3 linked regions of the Stegostoma tigrinum genome follow. The protein of the gene in region 2 interacts with the protein of the main gene of each other region in a pairwise test. Links are inferred from orthologs where the notes say so. Each region holds a gene or a part of one and is shown on either strand. Other genes may lie near its edges.

The links.
Region 1: the proteins of lipid droplet assembly factor 1-like (region 2) and coq8aa interact in binary tests that used the Homo sapiens proteins (3 or more experiments, as listed by UniProt). The two-hybrid records come from large-scale screens. The link is inferred for Stegostoma tigrinum from reciprocal best matches to the Homo sapiens genes LDAF1 and COQ8A.
Region 3: the proteins of lipid droplet assembly factor 1-like (region 2) and cacfd1 interact in binary tests that used the Homo sapiens proteins (3 or more experiments, as listed by UniProt). The two-hybrid records come from large-scale screens. The link is inferred for Stegostoma tigrinum from reciprocal best matches to the Homo sapiens genes LDAF1 and CACFD1.

The regions. Positions count from the first base shown.
Region 1 is NC_081357.1:9,938,226-9,941,971, reverse strand, and holds the start of coq8aa (atypical kinase COQ8A, mitochondrial), read left to right. Parts: upstream 1-1,432; 5' UTR 1,433-1,560; intron 1,561-3,746. UniProt on the Homo sapiens protein: Atypical kinase involved in the biosynthesis of coenzyme Q, also named ubiquinone, an essential lipid-soluble electron transporter for aerobic cellular respiration.
Region 2 is NC_081376.1:49,103,155-49,106,900, forward strand, and holds the start of lipid droplet assembly factor 1-like, read right to left. Parts: upstream 2,923-3,746; 5' UTR 2,800-2,922; intron 2,511-2,799; exon of another isoform or gene 1,709-2,510; intron 1-1,708. UniProt on the Homo sapiens protein: Plays an important role in the formation of lipid droplets (LD) which are storage organelles at the center of lipid and energy homeostasis. In association with BSCL2/seipin, defines the sites of LD formation in the endoplasmic reticulum.
Region 3 is NC_081382.1:43,821,736-43,825,481, reverse strand, and holds the start of cacfd1 (calcium channel flower homolog), read right to left. Parts: upstream 2,595-3,746; 5' UTR 2,573-2,594; coding exon 2,434-2,572; intron 1-2,433. UniProt on the Homo sapiens protein: Transmembrane protein which mediates synaptic endocytosis and fitness-based cell culling.

The sequences.
Region 1 (3,746 bases), on a different chromosome or scaffold from region 2:
ATATGGCCTCTTTCCACATTGTAGGAATTCTATGATCCTAGGGATATAAGTACAGAAATGGCTAATGCTGCCTGTTTTCAAGTACAGTTCAGGATACAGTAACAGGTGAACTACATTCGGATAATGGTGAAGAAATTAATACAGGGATGGATGCGAGTATAGGTTGGTGGAGTATATGAAGAGAGTACGTGAGTTCTGGATGTGAGTTTGCTCGCTGAGCTGGAAGGTTAGTAGAAAACTAACCTTCCAGCTCAGCGAGCAAACTCACATCCAGAACCTCAACCTGAGCTACAAATCTTCTCAAAATTCGCTAGAGCATGTGAGTATAAGTGAGAAAGTGACTTCAGCTACAAAGAGAACACAGAGTGTAAAGACAAGTACAGGTGCAGATCATAGAGAGGATATAGGCACAGGTGAGAATATGTGATGCAAATGAGGAATGAAGGTTCAATTGAGGACTTGGCTAGAGGTATAGATATAGATCCTGGGTACAGATATGGTGAGGATATACTTGCAGGTGAAGGTGCAGGCCTGGTTGAGGTGCTGATAAAAGGTGCTATCACTGTTGAGAATGCAACTGCAAGGAAGAGTAGCTACTATAGGTAAGGGTATGGTTGCAGATGCCACATAGATGAGATGAGATTCTGGTGTGGCTATGGGTAAGGATGCAGGGTATGGGTGAGCATACCCTGTACAGATATGTTGATAAAGGTGACGGTTATGGGTCTGGGCAAAACTACAGGTAAAGGGGGATATGAGTGAGGATAGCAATGTGAAAATGGATGAAGGTACATATGCAAATATGAGTCGGCTATCAGGGTGATAGGGGTGTGGATACAGCTGCAGATATGAGTGGATACACCGTCGTGATTGGGGTACAAATCTCACAAACATGGGCCTCCATCCAATCAGAGCCTTGGAGACGCCAATCCCGCCTAGCTCCCTCATTGGTAGTCGTCACGAGTACACGCGTGCAGCACGCCCAACTCGTCGCCGGGCGACAGCCAACCAGCGCCAGGGGAGATATTGGACCAATCAGCGGCGGGTTATCATCCCGTCCCCCGCCACGGCAAACAGATCGAAAGGCAGGAACCCCGGTGACAGACAGGCGGCGGTGCAGCCAATCGACATCGAAAGCGGCGGATGTTCCGCCCTTCCACATGGCGGGACCATGTGTCTCCAAGCGACCAGTGAGGGGGCGGTGACGGGAGGGCGGACGAACTAACCAATCGGATAATGTACTTTGGTAATGGGCGGGCAGAGGGGCCAATGGTACTGAAAGGCTTAGTGATAGACGACAGCACTGACCAATTGAAGTGAAAGAAGCTGTAACGGCTACCAGACCGACCAATCGAGGTGGAGAGTTGATGATTGACGGTTGGGCTGACTAATCGGGTGGAGGGGGTGGTGACGCAGGGCGGGGCGGGATTGTGGAGGAGAGGAGGGGGATGTTGTTGTTGTGGAGTCGGTTGTGGTGATTTTGCCGGACGGCACAGGGCAGCTCGGTTCGACTGGTATCCGCTATCACAGCGGCATCGCACGGATTGTCTCCCGGTGCAGGTTTGTCTGTCGGCGGGCGGGGGTCACTCACACGGCGGACCGCAGACGGCAGACACTGAGCCCTGGGTGGAGGACGGGGCTGGGGGGCAATGGCGGTCATCGCCCTCCTGTCAGTTTGTGTCCGCCGGGGGCAGCTTGCTCAGGCTTTCACACAGCACTCGGGGCTGGCTGAGCTCGACACCTTCCTCCATGGGGGAGGGAGCCTGGACATGCCCCACAGGGTAATCCTCCCAGTGTCTGTACAACACAACAGGACTGGGGGAGGGGGATCTGTTTTGGGGGGGGGGGGAGGAGAGGATCTCCGGGAGAAGGGGATCTGTTTTGTGGCCGGGAGGAGAGGATCTGGTGGGGAGGGGGATCTCTTTTGTAGGGGCAAGGACAGGATCTCTGGGAGAAGGGGATCTCTTTTGAGGGGGGAGGAAAGGATCTCTGAGAGAAGGGGATCTCTTTTGAGCGGGGAGAAGGGGATCTCTTTTGAGGAGGGGAGGAGAGGATCTCTGGGAGAAGGGGATCTCTTTTGAGCGGGGAGAAGGGGATCTCTTTTGAGGAGGGGAGGAGAGGATCTCTGGGAGAAGGGGATCTCTTTTGAGAGGGGAGGAGGGAATCTCTTGAGGGGCGAGGAGGGGATCTCGGAGAAGGGGATCTCTTGCGGGGAGGAGAGGATCTCAGGGAGAAGGGGAATCTCTGGGGTGGAGGAGAGGATCTGTGGAGGAGGAAGGGTGCTGGGGGGGAAGAGGATCTGTGGAGGAGGAGGGGGTCTGGAGGGGAGGAGGATCTGTGGATGAGGAGGGGGTTGCTGGGGGTGGAAAAAGTTCTTATTGATTGATTGTATTGTTGCTGTGGGTGGGGGTTTGTTTGTTGTAGATGTGTGTTGTCGTTGGGGGGGCGTATGTTATGGGTTACAGGGGTTTCTGGTGGGCATGTGTTTCTTGGGTTTGTGGTGTATGAAGAGGTTGGGTTATTGTAACTGTTACCAAAATATATTGTGGGTGGCGTTGTGCTGAATTTGTGGGTAGGGAATGAGGTGGATGGTATTGCCATACTCTGCTTAGTGTAACACGCTGAATGTATGGATGGCTGACTGACAGGCAAACAGATTTTCTGAAGGCTAGTACAGACAGTCAGCATTATGAACAGCAAGAGCATGAATGCTAGGACCCCAGATCTGCAATCTTAAGTTCCCATCTGTGAGAGTCCATCTCCCTGATCTATGGACATGTTTGAGATTGTTCACAGGGCTAGTGATTCCACTCTGACAGGCAGTGTTGTGTAGTTTAAAAACAAACACAAAAGTTGGCCATTAATCTGCTCACTGATGTAAACTTCTTAAGGGGGTGGAGCTCCTGCAGAATCCATGCAGCATTTGCCAGAATTTTCTTGACTGTAAAATTTCGAGTAGAGGGTGTCCTCTTTCTTTCAAGGTCACTTTTTTCTACTGAGATTGCCGTGTACTTTAGGTAGTAGTCAGGGAGGGGTGAAAACATTTGAATCAGTATCTCGTACACTGGGTTATAAGATTTCCCATTAATGTAGAATTGATCCAGAGTCTAGTAAGCTGTTGTATTTTTCTTCAACCCTCCCTTCCATATGATTGAGAGACATCCAGAACCAATGCGTGGTGTTATTTTAAATCCTGCTGCTTGGATCTTTCAGAATATACAGAATAGAAACAGGCCATTTGGCCCACCTGGCCTGTGCTGGTGTTGGGCCTCCTCATGTGTCTCCTTTGGCGAGCTGATTTTAATCCGCCCACTGTTAATGTCTGTGTCTTCTGTTACCAGGCCCCTAAGCTTTGAAATTCTCCGACTGTTTCAGTGAAGCTCTCATTAAAACCCACTGCTCATACATGTTTTTAGTCATTTGCTGTAATAACTCGTAGCTTGGTATGAAACATTAATGTTTTTGTGAAGGATTGGAACTTTCCTAATAAAGGTGCTATATAAATGGACATCATTTTAATTTGAACCCAAACAACAAGTCCTTCTATTCCTTTCTGCCACATGTTTATCCAGCTTCCCTTTTATGGCTGCTTTTTGTGTTAGTCAGTTCCTCATTCTGATCCCTGTCCATATAAAGAAGTTTCTCCTAAAGTTCTTTTCTTTTAAATTTTTAAATTCCCATCTTTTACTTAAAACGGTGATCCTGGATTCTTCCATCAGTAACTATTTACCCTATTGAATCTCTCA
Region 2 (3,746 bases):
AAATCCTGATTTCTTGTAATATATTTTCAACAGATACCAACTACTTCCTGTGAGCAATACTGGTTGCTATGCATTACTATAAAATCTGGAAAATTACCGAACTCAAGTCATTGTTTCGAATTAGCTGTCAGAAAGGCTTAATTATTTAGCCTGCCCTGGTTCTGCCTTTGTATGTGATAAGATTTTCTATTTCAGTACAGCAGAGATGATATATGTGTGTGGGATGTTGGGGAGGGTGAGGGCAGAGATTTGTGAAAACTATTTATAATCATGAGGGAGAGCTTGAACATGCCCTGCTGATACAGTGGCAATATTAATGAGAAACTTTTAAATGGAAATAACATCTAAAATGGGTCTTAAAGATTTCAAGTGAGGAAATCTGAATATTTCCTTACACATCCTGTTCCAATACTGCAAGATTGTCCAGGAAAAGGAAACAAATTGGTTTGTGCGCATATCCACCCCAACCAGAGGGTACCAGAATGCATATGTACCAATAAGGAATAAAAGTAGGCTATTTATCGAGTCATAGTATCATGCAGCATCGAAACAGACCCTTCGGTCCAGCTGGTCCACGCCAACTAGCTCTCCCAAACTAAACTACTCAAATTTGCCTGCATTTGGCTCACAATCCTCTAAACCCTTCTTATTCATGTGCCCGTCCAAATGTCTTTTAAATGTTGTAACTGTACCTGAATCTACCTCTTCCTCTGGCAGATCATTCCCACTGTGTGAAAAAATTGCCTTTCAGGTCCTTTTAAATAATTCCTCTCTCACCGAAGGGTCCCAACCTGAAATGCCAGCTTTCCTGTTCCTCTCATGCTGCCTGGCCTGCTGCGTTCCTCCAGCTCTACGCTGTTTTATCTCTGATTCCAGTGTCTGCAGTTCTTGCTATCTTAAAAATATGCCTTCTAGTTTTGAACACCCCTACCATAAAGAAAAGACCTTTGCTATTCACCTTATCTATGACCCTCATGATTTTATAAACCTCTATATGGTCACTCCTTAGCTTCCTATGATCCAATGTGAAAGTCCCAGCTTATTCAACCTATCCTTATAACTCAAATCCTCCAGTCTTAGTAACATACTTGTAAGTTTGTTTTTGTATCCTTTTCCAATGTAATAATATCCTTCTTATTAGCAGGGCTACCAGAATCGTACGTAGTACTCCAAAAGTGGCCTCACCAATGTCCTGTACAACCATAACATGATGTCCCAATTTCTATACTCAATACTCTGACCAATGAAGGCAAGCGTCCCAAATAACTTCTTCACCAACCTGTCTAAATGTCACACCCCTTTCAAGGAGCTATGTACTTGAACCTGTAAGCCTTTCCAGTGTTCGACAACACTCTCCAGGCCCTACCATTAACTTGGCCCTTTCAGCCTGCTCCACCATTCCATAAGATTAAGGCTGATCTGATTTTAACCTCAACTCCAGATTCTTGCAGACCCCGATAATCTTTCATTCCCTTGGTCATCAAGTATCCAGCTACCGCCTCCTCAAACAACATGTAAAGATTCTGGGATAACAAAACGTGAGGCTGGATGAACACAGCAGGCCAAGCAGCATCTCAGGAGCACAAAAGCAGACGTTTCGGGCCTAGACCCTTCATCAGAAACTCCTTTTGGATAAAAGTAATTTCAGAGACTCTCACTCATTTCACCTCCACCAACCCCCCCCCCCCCCCAACCCCGTCCATTTTAAATGAGTGATCTGTTATTTTTAAACCGTGACCCCTAGTTCTAGATTCTCCCACAAGAAGAAATCGTCCACCAGGTCAAGTTCTCTCAGGATCTTACATCTTAGAAATCATCTTTGACTCTTCTAAACTCCAAGGCCTTGTTGTTTCCGTCAACTCCCATTGGTCCGCTGCAGATTTTAAACAGGAAATCCCTGGATCCCCGGACAATTTGTCATCAATCTCCCCGAGACCAAGACATCTCCTCGGGAGCTGGATGCATCCTCCACGCCGGGGCCCCGCATAGCAACTGGAGGAGGGGCGCGTAGCAACGGGAGGAAGGGGCCTCGCTTAGCAACGGGAGGTAAACCCCTTCCTCCCTTAGCAACCGGCTCCGGGACCGGACGATGGCGGTGGTCGGTGCCGGGAACAGACAGCGCTGAAGCCCGAAGGAGTCACTCAGATCCTTGGCCTCATAACGTCGACATTTAACCCACCTTCTTCCTCCTTCGGGGTCGCTGAGGCCTAGCTATTCCCCATCCCCACCTCCCGGCCGCCTCGAGCTGTGGTCTGTGGGGGGAGGAACAGTCCGCTCTGAGTCCCCTCCGCGTATTTCACTTTGACACAAACCGACGGAGAAACCAAAAATAAAAATGCATCCCGAGCCCCGGAAGCTGAGGTGTCGATGTTCCGGATTCCGAGGGCCGGACGAATGTGTTCTGCTGTTTAAGAGAGCTCGCAGTACAGCAGGGTAATGTCAGAAATATTGTTAATATATTTTCCATTCTGTTTGATCCTTGATGTGCTGTGTCCTTCTTTAAAATGGAGGAGACACTTTTTCTCTGATGACACTGCGGCTCAAGGCATTATTTGCTTAGGGAATTCTCATTTTCTTCATTCTCCCCTCATTTTCCTCTCACTCATTCTCCCCCTACCACCCATTTGAGAATTCTACTCCCATTTGGTTTAACTTCCTCGCACTGTCGCTCCCATTTCTCCCAATTTTCTCTTTGTACATTAGAATTCTCACCCATTTCCCCTATTTTCATTCCATTTGCGAATTAATTTCTATTTATTTCCAATTTCCTCTCACTTATGGATTTCTACTTCGCATTACCTCCAAACACTGAGGGAGACGGCAACATTGTCTGTCGGCTGCCATGTGGCCCCAAGGTGAACTTGGCAACAGACACCGAATCCAGTGATCCACACAGAGGTAACAAGAACCTGCACCACAGGATTGGTCTTAAGCTGGCAGCAAAAGTGCACCATCTGAAATTACCCCAGGCCTAATCGTTTTGTTACATGTTCATGATCCTGTGCCGATGGAAAATATTTGATTACAGCCTCATAAAATCTGTCCCCAATGGAAGATGATTGAAACTAACGTATAAAGACAAAGTCTTTGAAAAATTTGCATTTATACAACATCTTATCACATTTATCAAGATACGTTTTGAAGCACTTCACACATAGTAAATTACTTCAAGTAAAATAAAAGTTTGCAATCCAGACACTTAGACAAGTACTGCCACTGTTTTTCTTTGATTAAAGCTGTACAACTTTTAAAAGTTTGTTTTCTGGGAGTCAATTGTGAAAAAATAGTTCCTTGTTCCAGAGATTGCTCTCTCGCCACCCCCTTTGAATAATGGGCACTGTTCTCTTGTTCTTTCTTGGCCTGAAACTAAAAGAAACATAGCCCTATTAGATAGCAAGAACTGCAGATGTTGGAGTCAGAGATAACAAAGTGTGGAGCTGGAGGAACAGGAAAGCTGACATTTTGGTTCGGGACCCTTCTGAAGAAGGGTGCCAACCCGAAACGTCAGTTTTCCTGCTCCTCTGATGCTGCCTAGCCTGCTGTGTTCCTCCAGCTCCATGCTTGGTTATCTATAGCCCTATTAGATATTGGAATTACCATGAGTCATTACTTTGCATCTTTAGTCACCGCATGACAGACATTGCTGCAATGCAGCTGACCTGTGCTACATATCGGGCACCTACTAACACATCCCTTATGGAGCCATGTACACCTGTCCCTAACAGCAACAGAACGGGAGGAAAGAT
Region 3 (3,746 bases), on a different chromosome or scaffold from region 2:
GAATCTATAGGCAGCCCCTGGACCGAGATCCTCCCCCCCAGAATCTATAGGCAGCCCCTGGACTGAGATCCCCCACCCCCGGAAACTATAGGCAGCCCCTGGACAGAGATCCCCCACCCCCGGAATCTATAGGCAGCCCCTAGACCGAGATCCTCCCCCCCAGAAATCTATAGGCAGTCCCTGGACCAAGATCCTCCCCCCGCCCCCCGGAATCTATAGGCAGCCCCTGGACAGAGATCCCCCACCCCCGGAATCTATAGGCAGCCCCTGGACAGAGATCCCCCACCCCCGGAATCTATAGGCAGCCCATAGACCGAGATCCTCCCCCCCCAGAAATCTATAGGCAGCCCCTGGACCGAGATCCTCCACCCGCCCCCCAGAATCTATAGGCAGCCCCTGGACCAAGATCCTCCCCCCGCCCCCCAGAATCTATAGGTAGCCCCTGGACAGAGATCCCCCACCCCCGGAATCTATAGGCAGCCCCTGGACCGAGATTCTCCCCCCGCCCCCCAGAATCTATAGGCAGCCCCTGGACAGAGATCCCCCACCCCCGGAATCTATAGGCAGCCCCGGACAGAGATCCCCCACCCCCGGAATCTATAGGCAGCCCCGGGCAGAGATCCCCCACCCCCAGAATCTATAGGCAACCCCGGATAGAGATCCCCCCCGGAATCTATAGGCAGCCCCGGACAGAGATCCCCCACCCCCGGAATCTATAGGCAGCCCCTGGACAGAGACTGCCTTCCCACGAAGACTGGGGGAAGGGGCGGCTTCTCTCTAAGCCCAGAGGCTCCATCACTGTGACTGTTCAATGGGAACAGGGACGGACGGGGGGGGAACAGGGACGGACGGGGGGGGAACAGGGACGGACGGGGGGGGGAACAGGGACGGACGGGGGGGGAACAGGGACGGACGGGGGGGGAACAGGGACGGACGGGGGGGGAACAGGGACGGACGGGGGGGGAACAGGGACGGACGGGGGGGGAACAGGGACGGACGGGGGGGGAACAGGGACGGACGGGGGGGGAACAGGGACGGACGGGGGGGAACAGGGACGGACGGGGGGGGAACAGGGACGGACGGGGGGGGGGCCGAGGGGACGGACGGGGGGGGGCCGAGGGGACGGACGGGGGGGGGGGAGGGGGGAGAGGGGACGGACGGGGAGGGGGGAGGGGGGAGGGGGGAGGGACGGGGAGGGGGGAGGGGGGAGGGACGGGGAGGGGGGAGGGGGGGGACGGGGAGGGGGGAGGGGGGGGACGGGGAGGGGAGGGACGGGGAGGGGGGGGACGGGGAGGGGGGGGGACGGGGACGGGGGGGGGGGACGGGGGACGGGGGGGGGACGGGGGACGGGGGGACGGGGGGGGGACGGGGGGCGGGGGGGGACACGGACGGGGGGGGGAGGGAGGGGGGAGGGAGGGGGGGAGGAGGGAGGGGGGACGGGGGGGGAGGAGGGGACGGGGGGGGAGGAGGGGAGGGGGGGGGAGGGGGGGAGGGGGGGGGAGGGGGGGGACGGGGGGGAGGGACGGACGGGGTGGGAGGGAGGGGGGAGGGAGGGGAGGGAGGGGGGAGGGAGGGGAGGGAGGGGGGGAGGAGGGAGGGGGGGACGGGGGGGGAGGGGGGGGAGGGGGGGGAGGGGGGGGAGGGGGGGAGGAGGGAGGGGGGGACGGGGGGGGGGAGGGGGGGGGGAGGGGGGGGAGGGGAGGGGGGGGAGGGGAGGGGGGGACGGGGGGAGGGGGGGAGGGGAGGGACGGGGGGGGGAGGGGGGGGAGGGGAGGGACGGGGGGGGGAGGGGGGGGAGGGACGGGGGGGGGAGGGGGGGGAGGGACGGGGGGGGGAGGGGGGAGGAGGGAGGGGGGGACGGGGGAGGAGGGAGGGGGGGACGGGGGGGGGAGGGGAGGGGGGGACGGGGGGGGGAGGGGAGGGAGGGGGGGGACGGGAGGGGGGGGACGGGAGGGGGGGGACGGGAGGGGGGGGACGGGAGGGGGGGAGGGGAGGGAGGGGGGGACGGGGGGGGAGGGGGGGACGGGGGGGGGAGGGGAGGGAGGGGGGGACGGGAGGGAGGGGGGGGACGGGAGGGAGGGGGGGGGACGGGAGGGAGGGGAGGGAGGGGGGGGAGGGGAGGGACGGGAGGGAGGGGGGGGGAGGGGAGGGAGGGGGGGACGGGGGGGGGAGGGAGGGGGGGAAGGGAGGGGGGGGACGGGGGGGGAGGGAGGGGGGGGACGGGGGGGGAGGGAGGGGGGGGACGGGGGGGGCGGGGAGGGAGGGTGGACGGGCGGGGAGGGAGGGTGGACGGGCGGGAGGGGAGGGGGGGGGGAGGGACGGGAGGGGGGGGTGGACGGGGGAGGCAGATACACATAAAGGCTCGAACTCAGGGACTGATCCCCGGCGCCGGTATAACTCCGGTTCCTCCCCCCCCCCCCCCCCGGCACTTACACACTCCGCCGAGTACCCCCACGATCCGGCACAGCCAGCGGTACCACCAGGTCATGGGGTCCCCGGTACCTGACCCGGGCGCAGGCCTCGGCCCATCGTCAGACCCGGGCTCCGCGAACCCACTCCCCGCATCCGACATCGTCGCCGTGAACCCGTCCCGAAGTGCGTCTGCGCAACGCGACCTCAATAGGCGGAGCCACCACTGAACCACGTGTCATTGGGCACTTAATGGGCGGGTTCAGCTCCACGGCAAAGTCGCATGCGCAGTGCCCTGAAAAGTGGCACGTTCAGTGTGCAAGAGGAGAGATCTCAGACAACGCGGTGTAGAGCCGGATGGACATGGCAGGACCAGCAGCCTTCCTGCTCCTCTGATGCTGCCAGGCCTGCTGTGTTCATCCAGCTCTACACCGTGTTATCTCAGATTCTTCAGCATCTGCAGTTCCTACTATCTAAGGGAGATCTCAATGAGTTTTAATTTAGAAACACCATAGCACAATCCAGCAGAGTTAACATAGCTGTATAACAGGAAAATCATTTTTTATAAATGTAATAGAGTATTTTGAAGCTGCCGTGAGCCAGATGATGCAGTGTATTTGGATGTCCAAAAGGCATTTGAGAAGATGCAATATAAAAGGGTTAGGGGAGTGATGTAGCACAGATTGAGGGCTGTCTAACTAACTCAAAACAGATAAAGAGATAATCTCTGTCTCCATCACGTCTATTCTGACGATACCACCTTCCTCAGAGATGCCTCAGAAACCTTCATCTTTATCCCCCAACAAAGATTCCCTGCTACTACAATTGACATCCATGTCCGACCCATTCCCCGCTCTCCTGCCATCACCCTTTCTGTCCCACAATAATGATACCAACTTCCACATCCAAAGGGTTATATGCCACCATTCTGTCAACTCCAGTTGCTTGCTACCACCAGGTACATATTCGCCTTCTCTCCCTAGTCAGCACTCCGCAGTGACTGTTTCCTGTGGTACACTCTGGCCCACTCGTCAATTTCCAACACCTCCCAAAACTTACAGCACCTTCCCCTGTAATCGCAGAAGGTGTAACACCTGCCCGCTTACATCCTCTGTCCTCATCATTCAAGGTCCCAGACATACCTCCCAGGTAAGTCAGTGATTTATCTGCACATCACTCAATCTAATTTACTGTATTCGCTGCTCACAATGTGGTCTCCTCTGCATTGGAGACATGAAGCGCAGATTGGGTGACCACTTTACAGAATACCCAAGTTCTGTCTGTAAAATTGACCCTGAGCTTCCAATTGCCTGCCGCTTCAACGCACCACTGTGTTC